Linked DNA regions of Mus musculus. The protein of the gene in region 1 interacts with the protein of each later gene in a pairwise test. Links are inferred from orthologs where the notes say so. Each region holds a gene or a part of one and is shown in the gene's direction. Other genes may lie near its edges.

The links.
Region 2: the proteins of Bag6 (region 1) and Efemp1 interact in binary tests that used the Homo sapiens proteins (3 or more experiments, as listed by UniProt). The two-hybrid records come from large-scale screens. The link is inferred for Mus musculus from reciprocal best matches to the Homo sapiens genes BAG6 and EFEMP1.
Region 3: the proteins of Bag6 (region 1) and Atxn2 interact in binary tests that used the Homo sapiens proteins (3 or more experiments, as listed by UniProt). The link is inferred for Mus musculus from reciprocal best matches to the Homo sapiens genes BAG6 and ATXN2.
Region 4: the proteins of Bag6 (region 1) and Dnajb11 interact in a two-hybrid assay, tested with the Homo sapiens proteins (2 studies listed by BioGRID and IntAct). The link is inferred for Mus musculus from reciprocal best matches to the Homo sapiens genes BAG6 and DNAJB11.
Region 5: the proteins of Bag6 (region 1) and Cdkn1a interact in a two-hybrid assay, tested with the Homo sapiens proteins (2 studies listed by BioGRID and IntAct). The link is inferred for Mus musculus from reciprocal best matches to the Homo sapiens genes BAG6 and CDKN1A.
Region 6: the proteins of Bag6 (region 1) and Spp1 interact in binary tests that used the Homo sapiens proteins (3 or more experiments, as listed by UniProt). The link is inferred for Mus musculus from reciprocal best matches to the Homo sapiens genes BAG6 and SPP1.
Region 7: the proteins of Bag6 (region 1) and Serpini2 interact in a two-hybrid assay, tested with the Homo sapiens proteins (2 studies listed by BioGRID and IntAct). The two-hybrid records come from large-scale screens. The link is inferred for Mus musculus from reciprocal best matches to the Homo sapiens genes BAG6 and SERPINI2.

What each region holds. Positions count from the first base shown.
Region 1 is NC_000083.6:35,134,179-35,138,299, forward strand, and holds the start of Bag6 (large proline-rich protein BAG6), read left to right. Parts: upstream 1-1,321; 5' UTR 1,322-1,340; coding exon of another isoform or gene 1,341-1,450; intron 1,451-1,469; exon of another isoform or gene 1,470-1,826; intron 1,827-1,936; coding exon of another isoform or gene 1,937-1,949; coding exon 1,950-2,057; intron 2,058-4,121. UniProt on the Homo sapiens protein: ATP-independent molecular chaperone preventing the aggregation of misfolded and hydrophobic patches-containing proteins.
Region 2 is NC_000077.6:28,851,920-28,856,004, forward strand, and holds the start of Efemp1 (EGF-containing fibulin-like extracellular matrix protein 1 precursor), read left to right. Parts: upstream 1-1,285; 5' UTR 1,286-1,405; intron 1,406-1,894; exon of another isoform or gene 1,895-1,997; intron 1,998-2,545; 5' UTR 2,546-2,554; coding exon 2,555-2,635; intron 2,636-4,085. UniProt on the Homo sapiens protein: Binds EGFR, the EGF receptor, inducing EGFR autophosphorylation and the activation of downstream signaling pathways. May play a role in cell adhesion and migration. May function as a negative regulator of chondrocyte differentiation.
Region 3 is NC_000071.6:121,791,609-121,795,108, forward strand, and holds part of Atxn2 (ataxin-2), read left to right. Parts: intron 1-3,329; coding exon 3,330-3,500. UniProt on the Homo sapiens protein: Involved in EGFR trafficking, acting as negative regulator of endocytic EGFR internalization at the plasma membrane.
Region 4 is NC_000082.6:22,864,345-22,867,844, forward strand, and holds part of Dnajb11 (dnaJ homolog subfamily B member 11 precursor), read left to right. Parts: intron 1-1,109; coding exon 1,110-1,207; intron 1,208-2,575; coding exon 2,576-2,708; intron 2,709-3,500. UniProt on the Homo sapiens protein: As a co-chaperone for HSPA5 it is required for proper folding, trafficking or degradation of proteins.
Region 5 is NC_000083.6:29,092,365-29,096,568, forward strand, and holds the start of Cdkn1a (cyclin-dependent kinase inhibitor 1), read left to right. Parts: upstream 1-1,404; 5' UTR 1,405-1,497; intron 1,498-4,204. UniProt on the Homo sapiens protein: Plays an important role in controlling cell cycle progression and DNA damage-induced G2 arrest. Involved in p53/TP53 mediated inhibition of cellular proliferation in response to DNA damage.
Region 6 is NC_000071.6:104,433,614-104,437,910, forward strand, and holds the start of Spp1 (osteopontin isoform 4 precursor), read left to right. Parts: upstream 1-1,497; 5' UTR 1,498-1,583; exon of another isoform or gene 1,584-1,601; coding exon of another isoform or gene 1,602-1,635; intron 1,636-2,578; exon of another isoform or gene 2,579-2,761; coding exon of another isoform or gene 2,762-2,775; coding exon 2,776-2,829; intron 2,830-2,927; coding exon 2,928-2,963; intron 2,964-3,287; coding exon of another isoform or gene 3,288-3,290; intron 3,291-4,041; coding exon 4,042-4,122; intron 4,123-4,297. UniProt on the Homo sapiens protein: Major non-collagenous bone protein that binds tightly to hydroxyapatite. Appears to form an integral part of the mineralized matrix. Probably important to cell-matrix interaction.
Region 7 is NC_000069.6:75,267,279-75,271,234, reverse strand, and holds the start of Serpini2 (serpin I2 precursor), read left to right. Parts: upstream 1-1,156; 5' UTR 1,157-1,196; intron 1,197-3,237; 5' UTR 3,238-3,252; coding exon 3,253-3,499; intron 3,500-3,956.

The sequences.
Region 1 (4,121 bases):
TCAACTCCCTTGGCGGTGGGCCTTTCAATCCCCTTTCTTTTTCTTCCTTCTTTTCTTTTCTATTTTATTTTATTTTATTTTATTTATTTTATTTTATTTGTTTGTTTTTGAGACAGGGTTTCTCTGTGTAGCCCTGGCTGTCCTTGAACTCACTTTGTAGACCAGGCTGGCCTCGAACTCAGAAATCCGCCTGCCTCTGCCTCCCAAGTGCTGGGATTAAAGGTGTGCACCACCACGCCCGGCTTTTCTTTTCCTTTTTTAAAGATTTATTTATTTTATGTATGTGAGTACACTGTCGCTGTCTTCAGACACACCAGAAGAGGGTGTCAGATCTCATTACGGATGGTTGTGAGCCACCATGTAGTTGCTGGGAATTGAACTCAGGACCTCTGGAAGAGCAGACAGTGCTCTTCATCTCTTGAGCCATCTCTCCATTCCCTTGGTCCCTTCTTAAAGTCTTGTCCTTTAATCTGATCCGCAAGGCACCCGTTCTCTTTTCTTTCTTTTTTTCTACAAAGCTCTTAAAAAGCAGCAGAAATGTCTCAAAACCAAAAAATGCAATAGAATTTTTTTTTATCCTTAAACATGGCACTCCCTCGGAGATCTCAATAAACAGGATGCTCAAAGTCTGCAAAGAGCCCAACCGGCCTAATCCCGCCAGGAACTAGAGTCGGGCACAAGCAAACACAGCCCGCGGAACGCCACCAGCCGTCCACGAAAAAGAGTGGCTTCCGGAAGAACAGAAATGATGGGAGGACCAGAGGTCTTGCAGAGTTTTAGGTAGTTAGAATTGTGCCTGTAAACGTCTCTGACCATCAAGATGGGACGTTGATTAACGAGGTGCACTCCACACAAGTCTCACAATTTTTCTCGAGGAAATTACAGCATCTCACTCAGTCATTTTTCTTTAGGCGTTTCCAGTAGCCACCCCGGTCCGGTTGCACTCTGGCGCGCGCAGGGAAGAAACGCACATAGCCGGAGGGGGGCGGGGAAGTACTTAGAGTGTGCGCACGCGTGGCGCCGCTCACGCAGGCGCAGTGCGGTCCCCCGGGCGACGACGGCGGCGGCGGCGGCTCCTCCGGGTGGTCGGCTCCCTCCCATCTCGGCCGGCCCGGGCCCGTCTCGCCCCCCAGAAACTCACTGTTCGGGGCTGTGGACTTTCTCATCGTGCCCCACGAAAGTAAATCGGGGGAGACTGGGGGAGCCGGAAGTACCGCCTCGAGATCCCCCCAAATACGATCGGGGAAACGGAAGTGGCCCTTGGTGCCAGGTTGGGGGAGACCGGAAGTGACGGTACCGTGGGGACGTCGGGGGCGGAGCCACAGGGTGGTGGGCTGTGTATGTGTGTTTGTATGTGTTTGGTCGCGTGTTGGTTAAGTCGTGTTGCTGGAATACCGAGGAGAGGCGGAGGCGGAAGGCGGGGGCGGTCAGCGAGCCCGTCCAGCCTCCCGTGAGTGTCCGCGGTCTTGGGTCGGTGGTGATTTAGGCGGGTTCGATTGTGGTGCTGCGCGTGCGCGAAGCCACTTTTCTCTGCCGAGTCTAGCGCGACCCTCCCCCCACCCCTCGCGTTGTCCTAGGATTTCCCGATCTCTCGGGCGCTTGCTCGGTCGCGACCGGTGATGACACTGGCCTCTGGTCGGTCTCGTGCTTGCTTCCCTGATTCCTAGCCCAACTGGCTCTCCCTATTGTGATTGGCATGGTGGAGCCCCTCCCACCTCTCGTCCTTCATCTCCCTATGCCGTCGATCTCCTACCCTTTGTGTTTCTGTTCCTGTGCCCCCGAATCAAAAAGGGGGGATGAGAAGGAGGATGAATATATCTGCTTGTGTATGAGAAACTTTGAAGGGATTGGGGCGGAGATTGGGTCCAGAGAGGCTTCCGGGTGTATAAAATACAGTGCGACCGACAGCGAACCCCCCCCCCTCGTTCTTCTTTAGAGAGCTGTCGGCCATGGAGCCGAGTGATAGTGCCAGTACCGCTATGGAGGAGCCTGACAGCCTGGAGGTACTGGTGAAGACCCTGGACTCTCAGACTCGGACTTTTATTGTGGGGGCCCAGGTGAGACACCAGTACTTTGTAGAAGGATGCGCCTGATTTTCTTGTCATTGACTCTTTTGTCCCTTACTGGATAGGACATCTGATGTACCTATTGAGTGAGGGGATGTGGTTACTGTTGAGTGAGGCCGATTTGGAGTCTGTCTTCACTTTGACAGAACTCAGTGAAGAGGAAAGTAGAGAGGAGGGATCTATACCTGTTCTGTGCAGACCCCAGCCCAAAGAGACAGACATGACTCTGGCCTTTGGGACCAGACACAACACAGGGGGCACCTTGGACAAGAATGGTGTGTCACAGGGACCTCAGACAAGTTTGGTGTGGGTTTTTTTTTTTTTTTTTTAAACAGAGTGTTCACAGCTTGGTACTATTTTTATAAGATTAAGGAAACCTGCTTTCATCCACTGTGAAGTAGACTTGTCAATAGCTGAGGCATGGTTTGAGCCTCCTGACCTTAGTGCACTGTGGCCACTGCATAATTCTTTGAGACAACCACCATGAGGAGGTCATTTTTGTGGTTTTTAAAGCAGATATTTAAAAAGCCACATAGACTTTTGTCTGTAGGTACATGTGATAGTTAATTTGGCCCTACCAAGAATTACTTAATGTCTTTCCGGGAGGTGGGCACAGGATCTCCTATAGCCCAGGCTAACTTTGGCCTCTGACCACTGTGCCTTCGTCGTCTATGTGGTCGTCTATGTGCTAGGATTATATGCACTATAACAGAGGACCACATCTGACTTGGCTTGGTCCTTTTTTTCTTACATAGTGAAATGTCTTAGAACTGATGGTCTTGTACTCATGATCCTCCTGTCTCTGCTTTCCAAGCTTGGAATTTCAGTTGTATGCTATTGCTATTTTTGGTTTGTTTGTTCTTTTTTTCCACCTTCCCTTATTTTTATTTATTTATTTATTGCATGTATGTGGTTCTGATGGGTACTGAACCTTGGACCTAGCACAGAGCACTTACTACTGAACCGTATATTGTGTGTTCCTTTCTGACCTTTGTTAGTTATCTTTCCAGACCCTGCCTCCCAACCCCATGGTGGTAATGGTTGTTTTGGGTTGTGTGTATTTTTGGTTTCTTTTAGAAGATTGTATTTGTTTTTATTTTATATGTGAGTGCTTTCTCTGGAAATACACATGTGCACCTTGTGTGCACTTGGTGCCTGAGAAGGTCAGACTCTGCAACCTGTGGCCTTTTCTTCATGTGGAAGTTAGGAAACTATAGCCCCAAACTATAGCCCCTACTTTGTTACAGATGGTTGTAACAACCTCGAACTCAGAAATCCGCCTGCCTCTGCCTCCGGAGTGCTGGGATTAAAGGCGTGCGCCACCACGCCCTGCTTGCTTCATTTTGTGTTTTAAGTCAGGGTTTCACTTTGCAGTCATGGCTGTCCTGGTAGTCAGATCCACCTAGCTCTGTATCCTTGAGATTAGTGGCTGTGCCAGTGCCTGTCTATCTGCATTCAGCTTTGAGATTATGGCCTTGAACACCTGCTATTGTTTTAGTTTAGAAAAGGATCACTGGTATCTCTAGATACTGGATAGCAGAGAGGGAGAAAGGGAGAGCTATTCGGCTTCTTTCGTATAGGTTTTAGTTATTTACTGTTGTTGTGATTTGGATTTTTTTTTAAATTAATTTAATCTCTGTACATTGGTCTGACTATTTTAGAACTCACTACGTAAAGCAGGCAGGCCTCAAACTCACAAGAGATCCACCTGCTTCTGCCTCTCAAATGCTGGAGGCATACACACCACGTCCCACTTATTTTTAATTATGTATTGGTATGTGTCTCTGCCTCTGGGTACAAACGCTCATAGAAGCCAGAGACACTGAGTCTCCTAAAGCTGTGTTTACCAGTAGTTGTGAGCTGCTGCCCAACGTGGATGTTGGAAATTGAACTGGAGTCCTCTGCAAGACCAGTATGAGCTCTTAATCACCGAGCCATTTCTCTAGCCACACTCTTTTATTTATTTATTTATTTATTTATTTATTTATGGACATAATAAATATCGGCCTGTTGATATAGTTGGCTAGTGAGACTGTCTGATTTTGATGTTGGCAT
Region 2 (4,085 bases), on another chromosome or scaffold:
AGCAAGTGGGTGTGCAGAAAGATCACTGCACTGCAGATGGAAGATTGGGAGCTTTTTACCTCATTGCTCCAAAGAACGAGCTGAAATGAGTTTAAATAAGCAGACACATAGAGAGATATTTTTACTGTCTGGTAACAGAGAATCTGTTTTTTCAAAGAAAAGCGGTTTGGGGACATTGGTGACAAGTAGGGTCAGGGAAACTTAGTAGTAAATGTCTTTGCTACAGTCATCAACGCCTTCCATACTTAGTAAGTTCTGCAGATCTGATCCTGTGCAGTACTGGATAGCCTGTCACCAGTACTGGTCAGGATCACCATTGGATGTCAATATCTACTTAACCCACCCACCCAGAAGACAGAAGAGCCGTAATCACCTGAAAGCTGCTCTCCAGCAGTCTCTACCAACTTGCCACTTCCACAGCCTCTGCAATATGCCCCTGGACAGGGCAGTCCTTAGCTCCTCCAAGTTAGCAGGTTCTGTTACTTCTCAAATTGCATTTGGTGACTTCGTTCTTAAAAGGCATATCTGAAACCAAAGGGAAGTAACTGCCTAACTGTGGGGTGGGAGAAGCTATCAGGAATAGCTGCAATTTGTGTGGTATGACTTGATAAAGGGGGGTGGGGCGGGACTCTCTCTTCAGATTCCTGAAATTCCACCATTATTATGAAAGACGCAAGAAAAATGCCTAATTTAATTTGGATGGGCAGTAATCAGGAGAAATGAGAAACTGTAGATAAGGAAGGAAGGAGAGGAGTTCACACACACGGACACACACACACACACACACACACACACACACGGGGTTGGGGGTGGAGGCAAGACACACACCTCAGGATGGCACATATTTTGTTAACATGAGTTCCATTTGGCTCACTCCTAACACCTAGCACCTAGTAGGCCCAGAAATGAACACGTTCATTCTCACCTTTCACCATTTGAGGAAGCTGACAAAACACACCCCCTCCAAAAATAAAAATCTGAAATGAAAAATAAAGGACCAGTTCTGTTAATAGCTTTAATTTATTCTCCCAGGAATCACTTGTTGAGCTAAAAGGAATTTAAGCCATTTCTGCAAAGTCTAAAAGCTCCATGGAAGTGATATTTCGATATTAGTTGTGTCTCAAATTCCTGTGAATCAGGGTACCAAGGGGCCTAATGCAGAGGATAACTGGGCCCCTAGACCCCAACGCCAAAAGGCGCGCCTTCCCGCGTGGTTGGAAGCCTGGGCAGGGCGCTTGCGCCTCCCTCTCTCTCCTCCGCCCCCCTTCGCCCTACTTCTCCTCCCTTTTTCCTCCTCCTGTGGCTGCTGCTGCAGCCAGACCTCGCCAGTTCAGACCTACCAGGCTGCCCTCCCCTACGCACTCCTTCGCTGCCCGGGCAGGAAAGTTGCGCGGCCCCCCCGCAGGTAGGAGCCCAAAGCCGAGGTCGCAAGATCTGCGCTATACCAGCGAGAGCTATACCGGGAAGTATGGTAGGGCGACCCAAGAACTGTCCCCGACTGTGAAACTGTACAGAGAAGATGGAGGTGGACTTGCTGGTCTGGGATCACAATCTGTCAGCCTGTGCCAGTACTTGGGTGACATTTGTTGGGATAGGTAGAGTAAGCGCGCTATCAACCCAGAGAGTTTTGCTGGTGACTCTGGTCTCTAGGTTCCGTGACTGAGGTATGGGATTTGAAAGGCACCTGGATTGCCCAGCGGTTGGTTGGAAGCTAAAGCGCTCAAGGACTCCCGCTGACAGACGCCTTACATCTAAGAAAGCTGAGCTCACTTCCCTGCAGGCATCAGGCTAGGAACCCCCTCCCCCAAACTGGTTCCCTGTGCTGCAAAGCTGTCTGAAGTCCTCCTACCTTAGGCAGCCTAGACCCTGTGCATAGCACATTTTGAGACCTGAGAACGAGGGGAAAAGGGATCAGTGACTTTGAGCTGCTGATTGTGCGCCAAGAGTGTGTATGGAAATGGAGCTTTAAGAGTGGGAACTAGAGAAGTCACCCTGCAGTGAGTTAGAAGCTCTGTGGGGTATTCTATCGGGAACTGTGAGATCGATAGCTCTTCGAGTTTTGTTTGGGTATTTTAGACTTTTTTTTTTTAAGACAATAAAGTCTGCGGGCATATAACTGATACTGGTTTGCAGGTATCTTTCGCTGAGCTGGGTGGAACTTCAGGTACAGCTGAGCCGTGGGTGGGTACTCTACAGTTTCAGAAAATAGACAGATGCTGCGCCCCCGTTTCCACCTCCAAGGGGGAAGAGGGATGGAATCGATCATATTCTATATCCCCTTTTGACTACCGTTTTCTGGAGCTTTATGAGTAGGTGTGGTATAAACACACGCTGAACAACCTTGGTACAGGATGGATGCAGTGAAGTAATGCATTTCTACTGTAGTTTCTCCTGTCTTGCTTATTTGGGTGGCTGGTGAGAAAGCAGACTGGAAGGAGGGTATTTGGAGCTCTCCATTCTCCTTTTCTTGTCAGTTTCTTCACTGATAAAGTTTTGATTTTCTAGGCAGTTGATACTAAACATCTCTTTGTCCCATTTCCCGTAGAGAATCACGATGTTGCAAACACTTTTCCTAACTATGCTGACTCTGGCGCTGGTCAAGTCACAGTACACCGAGGAAACCATCACATACACGGTAAGGCATGATGACATTTGAGATACAAGAATTGAGTAGTAGTCTGGGATACAAGAATTAACTGGTCTCTGCCAGGACAAGTGGGCAGTATTCTGCGAAGCAAAATAAATTAAACAACACTTTAATATGACTCAGGTTTAGGACTCCTGGTAAATCGTGCTGGGTCTTTTCAAAGGTGCATCTAGATCACCTGCGATGAATGGTTTGTAAGCTAGATGCAAAATAAAATGATTTGTGCAAAGCCAAAAATGAACTCTTTTAAAATTCAAATCTGTGTAAGCTCCATATTTCGAAGACATGCAATGAATTGATGGGTTTGAGGACTCTGGGAGCCTGGGTATGTGCAGATGCAATCAATATATGCAGAATAACACGCAAAGCAAATAAGAATGTATGGTGTAATTACACTAGCTCATCTGTGCCTGTCCTCGTGAAGTTCTCATTCTTGGATTCAGAAAGGCTGTCTATTCATGTAAAAGTACTGCAGATAGTTTAACTGTCACCAGCAGACAGTATTTGCCAACGTGGATTTAAAGCACACTGTGTGCATCTTGGTCTTGCAACTTCTATTTGCATCTCTGGCATTTCTTAGTCATATTTGGCCAGTTAGTTGCGTCAGTATAACCAATGTTTAATAAAATATTTAAAATATCATCTAATCCCTCCCACAGCCCTAAATAGACATGTCAGGAGAGGGCAGAGCAGGCTCATGTGGCTGGGATGAGGCCTTTGTTCTGTGTTGTTTTCTAACTCTCATTCAGTGTTCTGAGATGAATGACATTTGTCCTGGGTGAGTATATGAAAAACACATTTTCATACTTCTTTCCAATTCTTAAAATTAAGTAATCCTATTCAAAAGAGTATAAATGTTTTTAAAGTAAAACTCAGAAGTGAGCTAATATCAATTACTAATAATAAACATTATCTCACTTTTGCATCATGTTATCCCTAGAACAGTATTACCCGTCCTGCAGATGTTCCCTTCTGCTGCTCAGAACAACTGTAAATAAAATTATTGAGTAAAAGTATTGTGTTATTTTAACATTAAAACAAATAGAGGAAAATGAAAGTATGTGCTGTTTATCTTCAAATGAGGATGTTTTGTTATTCAGGTTAAACTTACTGCCCTCTCAGTGAGTTAGGATTAAATCGTCTACTTGTATATTCAGTAAAAGAGTTTACTCCTTTTCTGAGAAGTTGTCCTGGAACTCATTATGTAGCCCATTCTGGCCTTGAATGCATCATCATCTGTCTTAGTTTTCTAGGCAGATATTATCACTTGAATTGCTTATCTCATGCCTCCTCCATTTCCCCATCACCTACAACTTATTTGTTTTCAGTAGAAAGTATCCATTGTGGTTTAAGCCCTTCAATTTTAGAATTGTAATGAAGGCCTTCCAGATATGATGCCCATTTTGTGCTAAGAGATGACAGATTAAGCCTATTCTTT
Region 3 (3,500 bases), on another chromosome or scaffold:
CCCTAGCCCCCAGGCTGCTCTTTATTTATTGTTTACTTAATATTCCAACCACTGATACTAGTTTGCAACTCTCTTTGTTTGGCCCTACCTTACTAATGAATTCTTTCTCTGTCCTGATACTTATTATTTTTTCCAGCCTTGATTTGGGCTTAGGTTGTCGTCACTCTTCTGATATCTTCAGGTACAGCATTGTTACTTATTGAGATCTTATCAAATTCTTTTTTTTTATAAATTTAACTGAATTTAATTATTTTAATTTTTGTTTAATTAATTAACAATTGGGCATTACATTTCTTCTTTAAATTAAAGTTCAGGTAGCACTGGCATCAAGAGTCGGTCTCTAGGAGTGGATCATACTTATTTTGTTGAGCTCCTGGGCAGTGAGTAAATGCTAGGAAACAAAGCAGGGGTTCCAGGGCAGGGTTGACACTGAGTGCTTCCTGTGTTTCAGACACTTTTCTCTGCTTGTGTCCTAGCCCCTCCTGTCACAGTGATGCTCTGAAGCAGGTTCTGTCACTGCCTGCAGTGTGTGCATCAGGAAACTGAGGCAGTGAGGTTAAATCATCTGCCCAGGGCCCCATGGATAGGAAAGGGCAAGCCTTGGCTCTCTGGGGTACTGCAGTGTTCAGCCATCCTCGTGACATGGAGGTTTGGTTTTGAACTGCCCTTTTCTTGAGAGCAGTCTGCACTCTGCAGTATAGCTGAGTATTGGAAATTTGATACAGAGGATTTCTCTGTCTGATCTGTTAATGCTTAGTAACTGAGATTATGCAGATAGAGATTTTTCTTTCACAGTATATTGCCTAGTGTCCCAAGCACAGTAGGGACTGGTAGAACCTACTTGGGTTGCAGGTGGCAGCATATAACTGTGGGCCCTGCCCTTGCTAGTGTCTGTGGTCCACGCTTGTTACTGGGCATGACTTCACATTGCCGAGGTGTGGTGACTGGTCCTGACAGTTGCTTTTCTCTGAGTTACAAAAAGGCATGGGTTTGGGTGGGGTTTAGCTCTGTGTGTTTACTGTGGACTAGTTGAGTCCAGTCCCACCAAACACACATATCCCTTCCCTACAGAATTTTTAAAAAATATTTGTTTATTTATCAAATGTAAGTACACTGTAGCTGTCTTCAGACACTCCAGAAGACAACATCAGATTTCGTTAAGGATGGTCGTGATCCACCATGTGGTTGCTGGGATTTGAACTCAGGACCTTTAGAAGAGCAGTCAGCACTCTTAACCGCTGAGCCATCTCATCAGCCCCTCCCTACAGAATTTTAATTGCACTGTTTTCTCCATGGGTTTGCCATAAAAGTACCTACATCAAAATTTAGGCCATTGTGTGGATTAAACAAATAACACAAACAGTTTGGATCTATAGGTAATTTTGCCATTATAAGAATAGAAATGAGCTGGGCATGGTGGTGCATGCCTTTGATCCCAGACAGAGGCAGGTGGATTTCTGAGTTCGAGGTCAGCCTGTCTACAAACTAAGTTCCAGGACAGCCAGGGCTATACAGAAAACCCTGTCTCAAAAAAACAAGGAAGGAAGGAAGGAAGGAAGGAAGGAAGGAAGGAAGGAAGGAAGGAAGGAAGGAAGGAAGGAAGGAAAGAGAGAGAGAAAGAAAGAAAGAAGTGGAAAATGCTTTTTTAAAATTTTATTCCTAGCATGTTTTTGTATGATGTGGGTGTGTGCCCGTGAGCTTACATCTTCAGGCTTGAGCAATCTCTTCAGCTCTTTGCATTTTATGTAGATTCATTTTTATTTCATGTGTCCGGTGTTTTGCCTGAATGTATGTGTATTAGTCAGGGTTCTCTAGAGTCACAGTACTTATGGATAGTCTCTATATAGTAAAGGAATTTATTGATGACTTACAGTCTGCAGCCCAATTCCCAACAATGGTTCAGTAGTAGCTGTGAATGGTAGTCTAAGGATCTAGCAGTTGCTCAGTCCCACATGGCAAGCAGGTGAAGGAGCAAGAGCGAGACTCCCTTCTTCCAATGTCCTTATATGGTCTCTAGCAGAAGGTGTAGCCCAGATAAAAGGTGTGTCCCACCACACCTTTAATCCCAGATGACCTTGAACTACCTGTCTTAATCTTCTGGAATCCATAGCCACTATGCCTCAAGATCTCCATAACAACTAAGATCCAGGTCAGAAACTTCTATCTCCCAGCCTCCAGAGAAGGGTCACTGGTGAGCCTTCCAATTCTGGATTGTAGTTCATTCCAAATATAGTCAAGTTGACAACCAGGAATAGCCACTACAGTATGTATGTAAGTGCACTACATTTATGCCTGTACCCAGAGCCCAAAGAGGACACCAGATCCCTTGAAACTAAAATTTTAGAGATTGTGACCATGCAAGTGCTGGGAACTGAACCTGGGTCCTCTGCAAAAACAGAACGTGCAAATGTCTACTGAGCCATCACTGCAGCCCTAATTTTTAAGTTTAGGAAGTTGTCGTATGGTCATTGTATATTGTCCTAGGTTTCATAAGCACATTCATATAAATGTCGATGATACACTCTGAGCACATTCCATCTCCTGTTCTCTCCCTTTCCCCTTTCTCATGCTGTTGGGATTTTAAAATTAGTTTTTGTTTAGATTAGATGTTGATCTCTTCAGGAGCTATTCCTTCATGGAGGCTGCTTTTTCTTTCTGCGCCACATGGTAGCTTCCCACCTTCCTGTGTCTAGGCAGTCGGAACTGTTGCATCTTGTTCACTGTCAGCCACTGCCTCTGCCTCTCCAATTCTGAAATTGCAGGCATGAGCCACCATCAGTCTAATAGTTAATTCTTTTTTGTTATGCCTTGGGCGACAGGGGCGGGAGGTTGAGACATGGTCTCTCTACATAGCCCTGCTTGCTCTCTGGGAACTCACTATGTAAAAACTAAGGTGGTCTCTAACTCTCAGACGTGCCTCTGTTTCATGAGTGCTGAACATAAAGGTTTGTGCCACCATGTTCAGCCTGGCTAATAACTAGTCTTGGATACTGGTTCCTAAAATTGTGTTGTGTATCATTCTGTTATTTGTGCCTGAAAAATGCATATTCTGAGCCAGGCATGGTGGCCTTTAGTTCCTTCCAGCATTCAGGAGGCGGAGAAAGGCAGATCACAGTGAGTTCAGGACCAGCCTGGTCTACATAGAGAGTTCCAGTACAGCTACACTCAGGTTACACACAGAGACCCTGTTCTGTCTTAACAAACAGACAAGTCCACCAAAAAGGCCATATTCTGAAAATAATGAAAACAGAAAACCTATTCAAAGTATTTTCATTGCCATCACATACTACTTGGCTTATACTTAATGGGAAATTATTTCTTATATTTAGTTACAGCCAAGCTCTACATCTGAATCTATGGATCAACTACTAAGCAAAAATAGAGAAGGAGAAAAGTCACGAGATTTGATTAAAGATAAAACGGAAGCAAGTGCTAAGGATAGTTTCATTGACAGCAGCAGCAGCAGCAGCAACTGTACCAGTGGCAGCAGCAAGACCAAC
Region 4 (3,500 bases), on another chromosome or scaffold:
CCTGAGCCCTTTTTAAAATTAAGTTTTAAACTTAACAGAAAGTGTGGATTTCATTGTGGGAGTTTCCTACATAAATATTTTATACTTAATTTTTATTGGTCCCCTATATACATTTTTTCTTCTTGCACATTGAAGGCAAATTTTTACATGCTTAGAAATTAATTTTTTTCTTATGCTCTTTGGATCATACAAACATTACGCAAAGTTCTTTCAGGCAGTAAAATTGACTTGAAGGTACATTTATAGAGTAGTGTTTATTGATATTCTTTTCAACAGTTTGAACTCAAGACATCACAAAGTTAGACACGTCAAGGCAGACAGCATTCTCCTACAAATGGATTTCTACACATACGAAAGCATGGGAAAAAACAAACAAACAGTGTGAAAACACAGCTGTGGGAACAGCTCTGGATTTTTCTTCAGGGCCATGATCCTGTTGTTTTGGCGTGCCAGACGTCTCTGTACAGTGTGTTGTGCAGGAGCCGGAGAGAGGCAACTGTTTTTAAGACAGTAATTTAGTGCATTTGTTACTAGTGATGGTCTTTCATGGGTATATTCTAGTTTATAGTTTAGTGACATAGTACTGCACAGAGCTTACAGAATAAGCCCTGGAATTAAATTACCCAGAAAACCAACTTGAGCAGTCAGTCTCCCTTCTTTCCTGCTACCTTCTTGACCTTCACAGTCCCATGCTTAAATGCGGTTTTTAAAGCACTCAATCGGATTTGACAACTTGAAAGGATAAGTTGGGCAGCATGCAGTAGGCAGTACCCCAAAGAATCCAGTCTGCTCTAACAGCCTCCCAGATGTGTGCACATGTCCAGACTCCTTCTCAGGAGGCTAGGGCAAGAACATGAGTTTGAGGCCAGCCTAGGCTACATTTGGAAGTCTAGGCAAGCCTGAGTCATATAGCAAGGCCTTAGCTCAAAAATCCCCAAGAAACAAACAAAAATAACAACTTTAAACAAACCTTAATACCACACACAATGAAAATCACACTCTCTGCGAAGCTTTAGAAACTCAGGGTCAGAGTGGAAAACAGCTGTGAACGTGAATGTCCTTTAACTGACTTAGAGCATGACATTTTCTTCACTGGCATTCATCCCCAGGTTCTGTCAGATAGTGAAAAACGAAAACAGTACGATACTTACGGTGAAGAAGGCTTGAAAGATGGCCATCAGAGCTCTCATGGGGACATTTTTTCACAGTAAGTAATTTGCCCATTTGCGGAGTATTATATCCTGGGACGGGACCCCTGGGCACTAACTGAATTGCTCTTGGAGACAGAGGGCAGAGTTGCCTCTCTGTCATCCTGTGGACAGGAGAGGGGTGGCTATGACAGGCACCATCAGAAAAGGAGTTCATAGGGTCTCTTCATCTCCTGTCACTCTTGGCTCACTGGGAATTCGGGGTAGCTGCAATGCTAATAAGAACTTCTCCTCACTTTGACCCAACCCCTCCTTGTTAGACATTTGACTCTCCATGCATCATAATGTCTTAACTGGGAGATCTACTCCAGAGTTCAGCTCTGTAGTTATAAACAGGAAAATGTGTGAGTCTGCACTTGTATGCCATGAACGTCCATTTCTTCAGATTCTCAAAAGGCTTCTAGAGCCTCCCCTCCAGTAAGAGTGCAGTTATAAACAATAGCTCTGTCTGTTGAGCTGTCAGGGAAGAGCCTCTCCCCTGCCCATCAAAATGATGCTGGAGATGTCAGAAAGAGGAGCGCTCTGTCCTGCTCCGCCCTCTCCTCAGCAGCAGGCTCCGGTACAACTGAAAAACACGTCTTTATCCATCTCACAGTCATTCTTCTGTTTCCTTCAAACATTTGACCTTGTGCAGGCCAGGACTTACTGTTCCCTAAGGACGGGGACTGCCCCAAGGTTTTGCTTTCCAACTTTAAACAGGTGCCCAAGGTTTTTGTAGAGCGGTAGCTTCTTCATCAAGGTTAGTGATCTCTAAAGAGCAGACTTAGTGAGCACACGCAGTCCATTCAAGATGTTCAGGATTGACCTTCAGGAATTTCCTAAGTTAGCCTGGGCATAGTGTACAAACCTTTACTCCTAGGCAGAGGCAGGTAGATCTCTGAGGTTGGGTCCAGAGTGGTCATTCGAGCAAGTTCCAGGTTAGCTAGGGATACATAGAGGAGCCCTGTCTTGACAAACAAACAAAAAAAAGAAATTCCTTACATTAACCAAAAAGTCTGAATTGCACCAGATTAAATATATTATACCCCCTTTCATTATGTCTATAATATCTGGATTTTCCTCAGTATTTGAATGGATTATTCCATTGATTGAGTCCAACATTGAATCCTTTGATATACTGTGCATTAGTGTCTGGCTGTTATGTATGGGACATATTGTATTAAACAGTAATTTGGGGGTGGGGCAGCAACCTGTAAATTAAATTATGTAAATTAAAATTTGTATTGTATTTGGACCCAGTATATTAAGAATATCTGTTTTGCATAGTGTGCTGGCAGGAACAATATTTTATCAAGGGGAAGAAAATCAACAGTTGTGAGACTTAGGATCCGAGTCCTTTCTCCTGATGAGTTTGCCTGTATCCACAGCTTCTTTGGAGACTTTGGCTTCATGTTTGGAGGAACCCCTCGTCAGCAGGACAGGAATATTCCAAGAGGAAGTGATATCATCGTAGATCTAGAAGTCACTCTGGAAGAAGTGTACGCAGGAAATTTTGTGGAAGTGAGTTCACACAGTACACCTACCCACACTGACCCACAGAACTCGTACTTTTGACCACAAAGCAGAGAGTTTCAAGTGCTTTGTGTCTTTTAGAGTATGAGAGGGAGTGGCTGACACATACATAGTTGAAATCATCAGAATCCTTACTTAGTTCATAGTAGTCACGAACTGAGCTCACTACCTAGCCTGAGAACTCAGTGAAACTCCCAAAGAGTCCTACACGTGAACATCGCTGTATGTACTCTAGTTACACGTGAGCGGGGATGTCTCCATCATGGATACGTGTGAAAGTAGAATTGCTGGGTTGGGTCCACACATTTATGCTTCACACAAAAGTGCCATAGTATGTTTGAAATTGTCCAAGTCAATAGTCAGCATGCCACGGCAGTTCATGTTTGCTCTGCCCCTGTCCATACGGAATAGTCCCTGTTCCCTCCTAGTTATTACGTGGGTATGGGATTACTGTGGTCTTGGTTTGTGCTTCTTAATTTCCAACTAGGCAAAACATCTCTTTCATTTGCCCTGTTTGTTTCTTCTTGTGACATGCCGTTTCACCATGTGCCCCGCTTTGTTGATTTCTGAGACTGCTTCATTTTTGCTCTTAAGTTTTTGTGAGCCGTAATGCAGATATAGTTATCCATTTATAATATAACTTATCTTTACACAGTATTTAAGATTTATTTTAATTAGTACAAGTGTTCATTTTAATGTGGAAAAAGTCTGATCTTTAATTGTTAATTTTAAAAGTCTGCTCTAACATGAGAAAGTTCTTCTGGGTTCTCCAGTAAAATT
Region 5 (4,204 bases), about 6.0 Mb from region 1:
GTGATGGCTCAGACCTGTAGTCTTAACTCTAAGCAAGGAAGTTAAGGCAGGAAGATTGCCTTGAATATGAGGGCCACCCTGGGCTACATAGCGAGGCCTCGTCTCAAAAGACCCCAAACAGAAGGAAATAAAACTGACTAGAGACATGGAGGAAGGTGGGAACGGAGAATGTCTTACTGCTATGTCTGTCAGGAACATCCGTAGATGTTTCTAGAATTGTCCTTTATCAATGTCATTTTAGTGGACTGTCTGGATCTTGGGAGGGGGAGTATTAGACATTTCCCTCATTTTGGACCCAGAGAAAGAAATCTGCAAGCAGAGTACTCTGGGCAGCTTGCCAGAGGTCAGCAGGTAGCCATTAGTGTGGTCCCAGTCAGGTCTTGATGCTCTCACTTGCAGGATGTATTATGGTGTGAGAAATGTTCACATGCTGGCTTCTGAAGAGGGGAGAGGGGAGGTAAGGAGCCTGGCGGCTGTTTTTCTTGGTAGTCCGTGGTCTGAGAACTGGACTCAATCTCCCCGATTTCTGAGGCGGTTGACAGCATCCTTTCCTTCTGTGGAACTGCTTTCCTCGTCTGTGAGACAGGGAGGAAATGATCGCGTTCTGGACCCGATGTCCGAGGGGCTTCTGGGAGGAGGGGGAAAAAAATCTCCAGACATAGTGGGACTTCTTGGGATTTTAAACTATTTTTTATTATTTATGGGCTTGTTTTGTTTTTGAGAGGGTCTCAATGGATAGCCCAGGCTGGTCTTGAACCTGTAACGCCCCTCGTGCCTCAATCTCCCAAGTATAGGATTCCAGGCTTTTGCTATCATACTCAAATGATCAATTTATTTATATTTGAAACAGTGTCACATATTTCAAGTTGGTCTCCATCGGAATAGGTAGCTGTCAAAACGACCTTGAATGCCTATTTCCCCCTCCTCACCCCCCACTGGGCGCTGTTATTACAGACGTGACCCCGCATGCCCAGTTTATGGGGCCCTGGAGCTCCAACCCAGGGCTTCACTTCCAGCAAGTTAGGCAAACACTGTACCAACAGACCCACCTCCCGAAACCCAGGATTTTATTTACTAATATCAGTGATCTGGAAAAGAGTTAGTCCTTCCCACAGTTGGTCAGGGACAGACCCATAAACACTCACTCAGCTCTAACTGTACTGTTGTTCATAGATGTATGTGGCTCTGCTGGTGCGCTGCGTGACAAGAGAATAGCCCAGGTGTGGGGGAGGGGAGGGCGCGCCCTCTTAACGCGCGCCGGTTCTAGCTGTCTGGCGCGGGCTTAGATTCCCAGAGGGGAGGGCGGGCCAGCGAGTCCCCGGGATCGGTGAAGGAGTGGGTTGGTCCTGCCTCTGAGGGGGCGGGGCCTGGGCCGACGCTATAAGGAGGCAGCTCGACGCCAACTGCAGCAGCCGAGAGGTGTGAGCCGCCGCGGTGTCAGAGTCTAGGGGAATTGGAGTCAGGCGCAGATCCACAGCGATATCCAGACATTCAGAGGTGAGAGCTTCGTGGCAGGGAACAATAGTTCTTCCCCGTAGCAATGCGCTGAGCCCAGTGGGTGTCCCCAGAAGTGTGTGTGTGTGTGTGTGTGTGTGTGTGTGGTGATGAGTGGATCACCTGTGTGTGTATATGTGTATTTGTGCGTGCCCGCCAGAGTCACAGGTGTGTCCGCGGCAGGTGGATGACGGGTGTGGGTCTGAGCGTCCGTGGTGGCTGAAGGCTTCGTTTGTTGGAGTGTGACGAGGGTCAGGCTATGTCGCGGACTCGGCATACAGAGTCTGAACTCCAGGACCACGGATGGCAGCCACTCTTCCAGTCCTTGGAGACCGGGTCCGAGCGATGGCTGGCGGGGATCGGCTACCGGGAGCTCGCTTCTGGTTGCCAATGTTTCTAGGGATTCCAGGTGCGGCTCGCCCAAAGCGTGAGAATGAAGCTCACGGTGCCCCGAGATGGGTCCTGGGTGGCGGTTGTGACAAGCTTCGGCGAGTCTATCTAGAGCTTAGCGCAGAGCGGTTCTCCGATCCCATGGGTGCCGCCGGATCCCCGGTCCTTGTGAACCAAGTGCCCTGTTTCGCGGTAGCCACCACCCCACTGGGCTCTGAGGTCAGCGCGAGCTGTGTCCTCCGCCCTCGGGATCGTGCCTGGGCACGTCCTAGAGGACAGGCGAGGAGGTGACTCATTGTGACAAGGAGACCCCGGGCACTGGATTGAGACCAGAATCGCGCCACAACTGGGGATGGGTCAGTGGCAGCCCAGAAGCCCCTTTCCCTGCCCGGGTACAGCCTCGTTCCTGCCCCGTCCCCTCCCCCGCGCGGCACAGTGACCTATTTGGCGGGCACAGTATGTTCCCAGGGAACCCGGGACACGGGGAGGTCCAGGACGCGGTGTCCGGTCCCCGCTCGGCGGCGCGCCCTCGGGGACAGGGAGTCTGGGCGGGTCCTGTCCACCCTGCCAGCCCGGGAAGCGCAAAGGGTCCCACCCACCGCGCCCACCACGACCCGGACCAGTGACCGTGGGGCGCGAGAGGAGCCCGCACTGTAGAGCGGCCGGTATCCTCGCGGAGTGAGGCTTACGGGTGCCGTACATCAGACGCCCCGGGGCTGGGGCCCTCGACCCAGTCCACACCCAGTGTAGGAAGGTGACCAGGCTGAGTGCGCCCACTAGGGCACATCCATTCCACTCGGAACCTCCGGGGACAAGGGCTACACTTGCACCCTGGTCGTGCGGGAAATACTTTGGGCTTGGGTTTGGCATTTGGGGGCGCGCTGGCAGCTTCCTCTGTCCCCTACGTCGCGTTTCAGAGAGGACACTCAGGCGGTTTTTTGTTGTCCTCGCCCTCATCTATTTTTATTTTCCAGGGATCTGACTCATCGCGTGCTTTGGGCGTGGAGATCAAGGTGGAGGGGGCCAGAGCTAAGAGCACTTTCTTTGCTCTCGAGTGTCCGTGCGTGCGTGTGTGCGTGCGTGCGTATGTGTGTGTGTGTGTGTGTCTGTGTACGTGCGTGTGTGTGTGTGTGTGTATGCGTGCGCGCGCGCGCGCTCAGTCTGGTTTCCCAACATAGGCGGGAATTTAGGAAGCCTGGGCTCATCGTGACGTGTTTTGTGGCCCGGGGTCCCCCTCCTTTCCTCTCCTCTCTCCACCCCAGGGTGACGCGCAGCTCCGGTGCCCAAGCAGTTTTGGCGGGCGGGCAGCGCCGGGCAGGAAACTGACTCACCACTCCTTGCTCGGCCTACGCGCCGCCTACCGAGCGCCATTTCCTGAGTGCACAGCGCCCCCTACCGGCATCAGTGAGGACTGCAAGGCCGGCTAGGCGCGGGTGGCACCACGGGCTTCTGCCACCCCCACCGCGGCTTAAAGGGAATTAAAATATGCCTGATGGCCAGATACAAGTGATTTTAGCAGGGTGTGCTAGCGGACTATTAGGGAGGCGTGGCCCTTGAGAGACAAGGTGGAGATCGTGCCCCTCTTGGGTTCCTGGTCTTATCTTCAGCTATGAAAAACTGGGGACTATCCAGCCTTAGCCGAGTCCATTGGTGTCTTCCCTTCCTTCCTCTGGCCCCTGTGAGCTACCGTCTGGGGAAGGGCACCAAACTTGTTTTTCGGCTCAGTTTGTCTGGGGAAATGAGCCAATCTATATTTCTATATCTATATAGATCTCTCTCTCTGTCTCTGTGTGTGTGTGAAAGAGAGACAGAGACAGAGAGACAAGCTTACAAAATGGCCCCAGCTACCAGTACTATATAGACAGGCTGGCCCAGTGGCCTGGAACTCATAAGGATCACGTGCCTCTGGTGGAGTGCTGGGATTAAAGACTCTCCCCATAACATGGAGCTCAGTCTATATTTAATAAAAAAGCTTTTCCAGCTGATTTTAATGGAGTCCTCTGGTCATGCCCCTCAAGGTGAGAAGACGAGAGAATGATCAATACTAGACCAAAAGGGTCTGAATTCAAACCCCGCTTGTGAGCCCTGTGCCTTTGGACACACATTCTGAACCTGGATTAGCTCTGCCGTAAAAGAATGTGATATTGCCATCTATTAACGATAGCTTTTGGTGGCTTACAACTGCAATCCCAGCACACTAGAGGCAGAGGCAGGAGGATGACTGAGTTGTACTAAAGGATGTGAATAGGCCCCAAGCTCTACCTGTAGGCAGAGGCCATCTGAGGTCCTTTAGGCCTCTGAGGTCTGCACCTTGAGAATC
Region 6 (4,297 bases), on another chromosome or scaffold:
GCAGGGTTTGGCAAGTAGCACTAATATCTAATACAACAAAGGTTTGACTTAACTTTAATCTCAATTTCTGCATGCCTCTTACATTGGAGATGTAAGGTAATAAGCCTGTGTTCTCCATTTCGGGAAAAGAAAGGAAGTAACTGCAGGGCAGTATTAAATATTTAAAGAAGTCTGCTTCACCTATAATTTTATCTCATTTGAATACCTCTTAACTATTCAGTAACGTTTTGTTAATACAAATTTTAAAATCTTTTTAAGTAGCCAACCTTATATATTCCAGGAAATAAAACTCAAAAAAGATAATTCAGAAATATAAGCTGTGTCTTTAAAAAAATATTCAGAGAACCCTTTAACGTGTACAGCTTAAAGATCAATTCAAAGGCATTACAAATTTCAGCTCCTTGCCTCTGCTGAAGATTTCTGTAATAGTTAAAATATACACGTTCTTTAACATGTGGGGGAAGGAGCATTGCAAAATGTGAAGTGCTATCAACTGCACTTACACTAATCCATTGTCCTGTAGATAGACTAAGTGACTTGCCCAAGGTCACACCTGGCACTGCTTACAGAAGGACTGAAAGGCAGTCTGGCTCCTGCAGCTTCCCCACCCAGCAAGCATTCCAGTCTCACAAACTGCTTGCTTAGGCGGGCTCTATCTGGAGTAACCACCTCTTCTGCTCTATATGGCCATTATAGTTTAGATAGCATCAGAACCATCACTCCCAGCTGCTCCAACAGAGCAACAAGGTTCACGAGGTTCACGTCTCTAAAGGTCAGTGGAGGCAGGAGAGGAATTCAGGGTCACTGTGTGGTTTGCACAAAGAGCAAGCGGCTGCATAGCTCAAGTGTCAAAACTGAGTTGTTACTTTGTTTCGTTTTGTTGTGAGGTTTTGTTTCTTTTGTGAGAGGGTCTCACTTTCTGTTGCCCCAACTGACCTGGAACACAGTATGGAGCCGAGGCTAGCCTCAAATTCATGGTGATCTTCCGGAGTACAAAACAGAGCCACTGTGGCCCGGCCAACCTAAGCTACCGAATACAAAGGCAAAAGGGAGGGTCTGAAAGTTCTGCCGAGACAGCAGTTTTCTAGATTTAAGTAAGTCTGAGAGAATCAAATTGTGTATCCATGTGGCCTTTATCTGTAACTTAGATAGGAGAATCCATACCTTTCATCCCCATTGATGTTTTTCTACTAATTCAGTAACTATAAACAAAGTCTCTGTGAGGGTGATCTACTCTTCCTTTCCTTATGGATCCCTGATGCTCTTCCGGGATTCTAAATGCAGTCTATAAATGAAAAGGGTAGTTAATGACATCGTTCATCAGTAATGCTTTGTGTGTGTTTCCTTTTCTTCCTTTTTTTTTTTTTTAACCACAAAACCAGAGGAGGAAGTGTAGGAGCAGGTGGGCCGGGTAGTGGCAAAAACCTCATGACACATCACTCCACCTCCTGATTGGTGGAGACTGTCTGGACCAGCATTTAAATTCTGGGAGGTCTGAGCCACCAGCAGCTCACACTGAAGAAGCATCCTTGCTTGGGTTTGCAGTCTTCTGCGGCAGGCATTCTCGGAGGAAACCAGCCAAGGTAAGCCTGCAGTGGCCCATGAGGCTGCAGTTCTCCTGGCTGAATTCTGAGGGTGAGTCCAGAGAACATTCTTTCAACAGTCGTATTTGTTAGTCAGACTCGTGCTGTTCTGGTCTTTTTGAATAAGCTGGTCAGGTACATTGCAGGTTTCCCGGTATTTTCAAAGCCAGTTGGATGTAGAAGTTAAAATAAATCTAGTTGGTCCTCTAAAGGAGAGAGAGAGATCTGCTAGTAATCTCTCTCTCTCTTTCTCTCTTTCTCTCCCTCTCTCTCTTCCTCTCTCTCCCTCTCTCCCTCCTCTCTCTCTCCCTCCTCTCTCTTCCTCTCTCTCTCCCTCCTCTCTCTCTCTCTCCCTCTCTCCCTCTCTCCCTCTCTCTCCTGTCACACACACATTGTAAAGTTCTATGTATCTTTGGAACAAATGTCTGCATCATTTTAAAGTGGCTGGATGACTGTGGAGACCAGTAAAGGAGGATCCTCTATATTAATATAAACCAGATACAGTTATTTTTAGAAAACTGTCTCACTTCAAAAGAGAACCTTCCTTAATTTCTCGCTTCTGCACTTGGCTTTTACAGTTTTCACTAAGGTCCCTGTGTGATAACACAGACTCATCAACATGCACAGAAAAGCTGTTGCCTGCTCTCAGTGTTTTATTTTTATTATTATTATTATTGTTGTTGTTATTATTATTATTATTAGTCCAAATAGAACATCTTACTCAAATTCAAAGATATCTTTGTTTCTTTCAGCTTTGTATAATGTAAGTTAAAATCACATTTGAAATGCAAATGGAAAAAGCAATTTTCTTTTATCATTCTATTTTCTCTTTTTCTTCCTTGCAGAAAGTACTCTCATGGTAGTTCGTTGCTTTAATTACTCGATTACTGTGAAACAAATCTTGGTGTGGAGCTCTAGAGACATCAGATAGTGGGGGCATAAGCTCTGAGACTCCAGACGTAAAGTTTGGATGAATAGAGTTGTGAAATTGCCCTTTTCCTTGCTAAGGATGAGAGGTGGAGAGGTAGAAAAGGCACACAAATATTGACTCACTGAAATTTTCTCTGAGATGTAGAAAGATTCCATAAATTATTGGTGACTTGGTGGTGATCTAGTGGTGCCAAGAGTGTGTTTGAACCTGACAAGACATCAACTGTGCCTCATAAAATATGTTGCAGGACTAACTACGACCATGAGATTGGCAGTGATTTGCTTTTGCCTGTTTGGCATTGCCTCCTCCCTCCCGGTGAGTACAGCTGAATCTTAGAGAGAATTCTTGAAAACAAATGAATTTTAGCTTTAGCACACTCACACGCATTTCCTTGTCACTTTTCTGTTTTAAAGGTGAAAGTGACTGATTCTGGCAGCTCAGAGGAGAAGGTAAGCACCTCCGGGTTGATCATTTAACTGAAGAATGTTCGCCAGCGTCGCAAAGGTTGCTAGGAACAGCAATTTTTTGTTGCCATTTTATTCATCTATATAATTAGACCTGAGTATTTCAAAGTACTTACTATGTATTTTAGACAGAGACAGTACCAAATCGGCCATTGTTTTTAATAAACAGATTCTCTTATAATTAGATTTTTAATATAATAAAAGCATGTTCTAGACAATTGCTACTTACATAAAGCAGGTCACAGGACCTTGAGTGACTGGTTCTTTCCTGAGTCAGCATGCTTGGAAAATCCTGCAGGCTGACTTTAGAAGGTCACTCAGATGTCAGCTGGAGCTGATCATATGACTATGATATTTACAATACCATCCAAGTCCATCTTGAAAAGAAAAGTCCATTTGTGCTGTTTGGATCTATTAGCTGACTTTAGATCACATTTTCCTAAATGAGAATGAAAACCAAACCAGTACCTTTACATGTTTCAACATAAGACCAGCAGCATTGGCATACCTGTGCCTCCACATAGGTAAGAATATGCTGGTGTAACACAGACCCTGTGCTTGGACAAAAAGGCACACAGAGTTCAGGTCCAAGTGTAGAGCGTCATTGCAGTTTCATTGCTCAGCGAAGACAGTCAGGGAAGCACTTGTGCACAGAATGTGTGAGCTGGTGGTGGGGCTGCCTGTCTTCCAACAGTCTGGAGAACATGGGTGCTCAACTACAATAACAAGATGGGAGAATTAACATTTCCATACAGGAAAGAGAGACCATAACTAGTACTTTAAAATGTCACAAGAGAAATATTTTTAAATACAAGGATGCATTTTAAAAAGAAGTAACAGTATAAGTCATCAAATGGGATTTAGGATGTAGCCGAAAAGCTCAAAAGTCAGTTTTCTAGAATTTCAGCGATGTAGGAGCAGAAGAAAATATTTAAAAAGCCTTTAAGAATATACTCCTAAAGATAAGCACTCGTTGTTCATGTTAAGGTTATGGCTTACAGAGCTCTGTGTTTCTTTTTTTAATAATAGCAAATGCATACTTTTTTTTTTTTTTTTGAAATAGCTTTACAGCCTGCACCCAGATCCTATAGCCACATGGCTGGTGCCTGACCCATCTCAGAAGCAGAATCTCCTTGCGCCACAGGTATTGTGTTTTAATTTCTCAAAACTGAACAGCTGGGCTGGATTGATGGCAGAGCTGTTCTTACAGAGGACCCAGGTTCAGTTCCCAGAACCTAGATATCAGTTCACATTCTTCTTTAACTCCATTCCAGGGGTCTGTTGTAGTCCTCTGATCTCCTTGGGGCTCGGCAGATACA
Region 7 (3,956 bases), on another chromosome or scaffold:
CCTGGTTGATGGACTAAGACATAGGTCAGTGGGGGAGGTATTTGTTAGTGTGAAATGCAATCTAGATTTAATCTATAATGCTAAAACAAGTAAAACTATGCTAGTTAGGAGATGTTCACTTCTCCTTGTCCTAATAATTTAGGTCTGTCACTGGGCCATGCCACAGAAAATATTAATAAGGTTCAAGTCTGAGATAAATATTTTAGAGGATGTATTCCTTTAAGGAACTCATTTTAAGGTGCATATGAATAATTTTATTTCCTTCTCATGAGGTTAACAGAAATACTATTAAATTTGGTGATCAATAGTCACGTTTGCTTCAATGAAACTACACTAAATTTTCCATTTCTCAGAGGCCATATGGATGATATATGTGTTTAATACCTTCCTGCCAGTGAGATGATTGAATTGAACTACTACAATGAGATAAAACCCATTGAATTATGCATCTACTTTTTATTGATGGGTGGTTTGTAGAGAAAGTTATGTGGAATGTTAAAATTGCATGTAAGTTACCTCAGTGTAACTTCCATGTTACCTGGGATTAATAGTGTTTTCTTTTACACATATAATTTGGTAAATCAATAATCTAACTCTGGTTCTCTTGTAATATATACATAGATACACACACACACACACACACACACACACACACACACACACACATATATATATATATATATATACATTCAACATCTACTCTTTTTCCAATTATTAGAATGGGACTCAGGAAATGTCTCTGATGTTTGCAAAGTACAAGCTAATGAATTGTGGCAGTTGTAAAGTGTCTTAGATTCAGTTGTTCTTCTCCTCCTAAGCACTTTGAAGCATTTATGATGGGTTGAATTTTAATCTGACTTCAAGTCCGATTAGAATCCAGCACATTAGTTACATTTGCCATATTTCCAGTCATTTATACTTTTAAAGGAAATGAAACAATAGATGAAATAATAATAATAATAATTCTTAACAATTTGTCTTACTGTTTTTCTTTTCACTTACATTTCATCATTTATCATTAACTTGATCACATGGCAGCACAGTGCACACCTGCTATGGTTGTGGAATAATTAATCATTCAGCGTTTAAGATAAATATAGTTGGCCTTCACCAATAAGCTGCTTCATATAAGAGGGTTTTCCAGTAAGCACATTTCAATCACAGCATTCAAGTTAATAATCAGAAGTTAATTTTGGGTAAGTTCCATAAAAGTAAAAATAGATATTTAGTAACATTTATTGTGTCTATTGAAACACAGAACTGGCACATTGGTTAAGTTTTGTGTAAGAATAATTTGATGTTTCTTGTTTCAAAATAAAACATTACTTTCAGTCTCTTAAAATTGCTTATTGAAGAAAGGTCGAATTCTTACAGAACTATACATCGTGTTGTCTATCTCTCAGTTCTTTTCACTTTCTGGTAAGATATTATTCAAAACGAAATGAGTAAGTAAAGCTTAAAACCAGTTATTTGCTTGATGCTATAACTTATTAAGTGCCTGGACAATTTATGGTAGAAATCACTGCTTACAGATGTACATTATAATTATGAGAAGAAACAGTATCAGTATTACTGTAAGACCAAGACTCTATTTTCAGGGAGAGCTATGTAATTCCCAAAATATTTGTCATCCCATTGTTGGCCAATTACATAAATATATATAATAAATTCCAACTTGTTTGAAAAACACTGGTAACATTGTAATAACTTACATAGCTATACATGGGTCAGGATTATTTTGAGAAATTGAATATATATGCATATAAATTCATAAAAGTGTATATATATATATATTCTTAAAATGTTCAAAACCAATCTATCTATCTATCTATCTATCTATCTATCTATCTATCTATCTATCATCTATCTATCATCTATCTATTATATATATGTTAATGTATGTATATGTATCAGAGTATGATATATAGACAAACATTTATGTGTAAACCTTCTCTCACAAAATGCTCTTTACTTTTGTACTTTTATAACCTAGTATATTGATTTAATCCTTAAAAAGCATCTACACAACAATTTACATCCTTATTCATGTCTTATCAACGTATTATTTTCTATTAGGTATTTTGTATTATATTTTGAGATTTATTTCCTTTTTAAAAATAATCTGCTTATTCAAATAGAGTTTTTCTACTTAAATTAAAAATCTGAAATATCAAAATAATATCTTATAGGTTACTTTTCAAGGCTATTTGATTATTCTTCATCTTTTACTAAAGCTTCTTAGTAACTCTTACCATATAACTATAGCAAAGCAATATTTCAGGTCTTCAAGGCTAACATCACTATTCTAAAGGCTTCAAGTTTTGTTTCAATTGAAAGGTCACTTCCTAGCAGCCAATTGATGGTTATTATTATACAGTAGAATTAGTATTACTGAAATTTATGAGAACTAAACATTACTATTCTATGAAACATTCAAAATTGTTTTCACTGAAGGTCTAATCGGATAGGTGACTTTCTTGTAATTGCCTTAGTGACCAATTGATAACTGGGCATCCCTGGTAAATGGTTATGGATTTCTATTGCTGTTTTCCCAAAAGTTGTTAATTGTTTCATCAAAGCATTTGACAATTTCATTCTTTGTTATTATTTTACCATGTATATTTGACTATCATTTTCCTTTCTCTCTTCATTTATCTTCCTATAGAAGATCATATAATGAGAGTTGGGACATTTTGCTCTTAGATTCAGAGAGTATAGAAGGGCTATTTTGGGGTAACCAGGCTGCCCACTGACTTAGACTGCACTGACTTGACTGTTCGACTGCTTGTGGCCTATAAACCTTCTGAAGTAACCAGAACACAAGTTTCCCTTGAGTCAGAGTCATAGCTGTGCCAATAAACAAGTCAAAAGAAAAGAAAGAATCATAAAACAAGTTAGTCAAGTTCTTGTCTGACCATGAGCTGAGAGTAGAGCTTTACCATTGCTTTTAGGAACATTAAGGTATAGATTCTGCTAGATTTTGAAGGATCTTAGTACCAGTAGCATGTGGGCTTCTCTTATTATATAATACTTATTCAGCAAGATGCCACTAAATAGAGTTTCCCTGTGGTAGTATTTCATATAGAATACTTGCTGTGTGTGTATGTGTGTGTGTGTATGTGTGTGTGTATGCATATATATATATATATATATGCATAATAGTCAAGTAGATGAGAGCTATACTGCTAAGCTTACTATGTTAAAGTCTGTTTTAAAAACTGATATGTTTTAAATTAGTATACAGAACGCAAGATGAATAAGACCATATTGTGGAGTTTTCTACTATTTTTTTCTGGAAGTCAAACTTCAAGAGCGACTGACCAAAAAATTGCTGACTTTGCAGTGGATCTTTATAAAGCTATTTCTTTATCCCACAAGAACAACATTATATTTTCCCCTCTTGGAACCACTATGCTTCTTGGAATGGTCCAACTAGGTGCAAAAGGAAAAGCACAACAGCAGATCCTGAAGACTTTAAGGATGCGGGGAACCCCAGCAGGTGAGCATCTTGCCTGTAACTCTCTGTTGATTCAATCACTTTAGTTTGTGGATATCAGGGAGCAGCTCAGCTCACAGAACTTCAAGAAGTGAAAATAAACACAGACAGTACCAAATTATAACCAAAGAGATAATTATAATGTGTGCATTTTATTCACTTATAATTATTTTTCCTTAAATATGTAGCAAAAATACTTTATTAAGAAATTGAGGCTTATACAGAAATAAAATTCCCTATATGTCTGTGTTTTTTTTTCTCTGAACTGTTTGTGTATTTCCATGAACTGGTTTTTAATATCATGGAACTGATTCAAAATATAATTTAACATTGCATTTTATTTATTCTTGTGGAAAGACATTAATTAGGAAACCTTTCTTAAGTAGCTGTTTCTCAACTTCCCTCAGAAAACTACTGCACTACTTTACAAGAGGCTACAGAACAGTTAACATGTAATTCA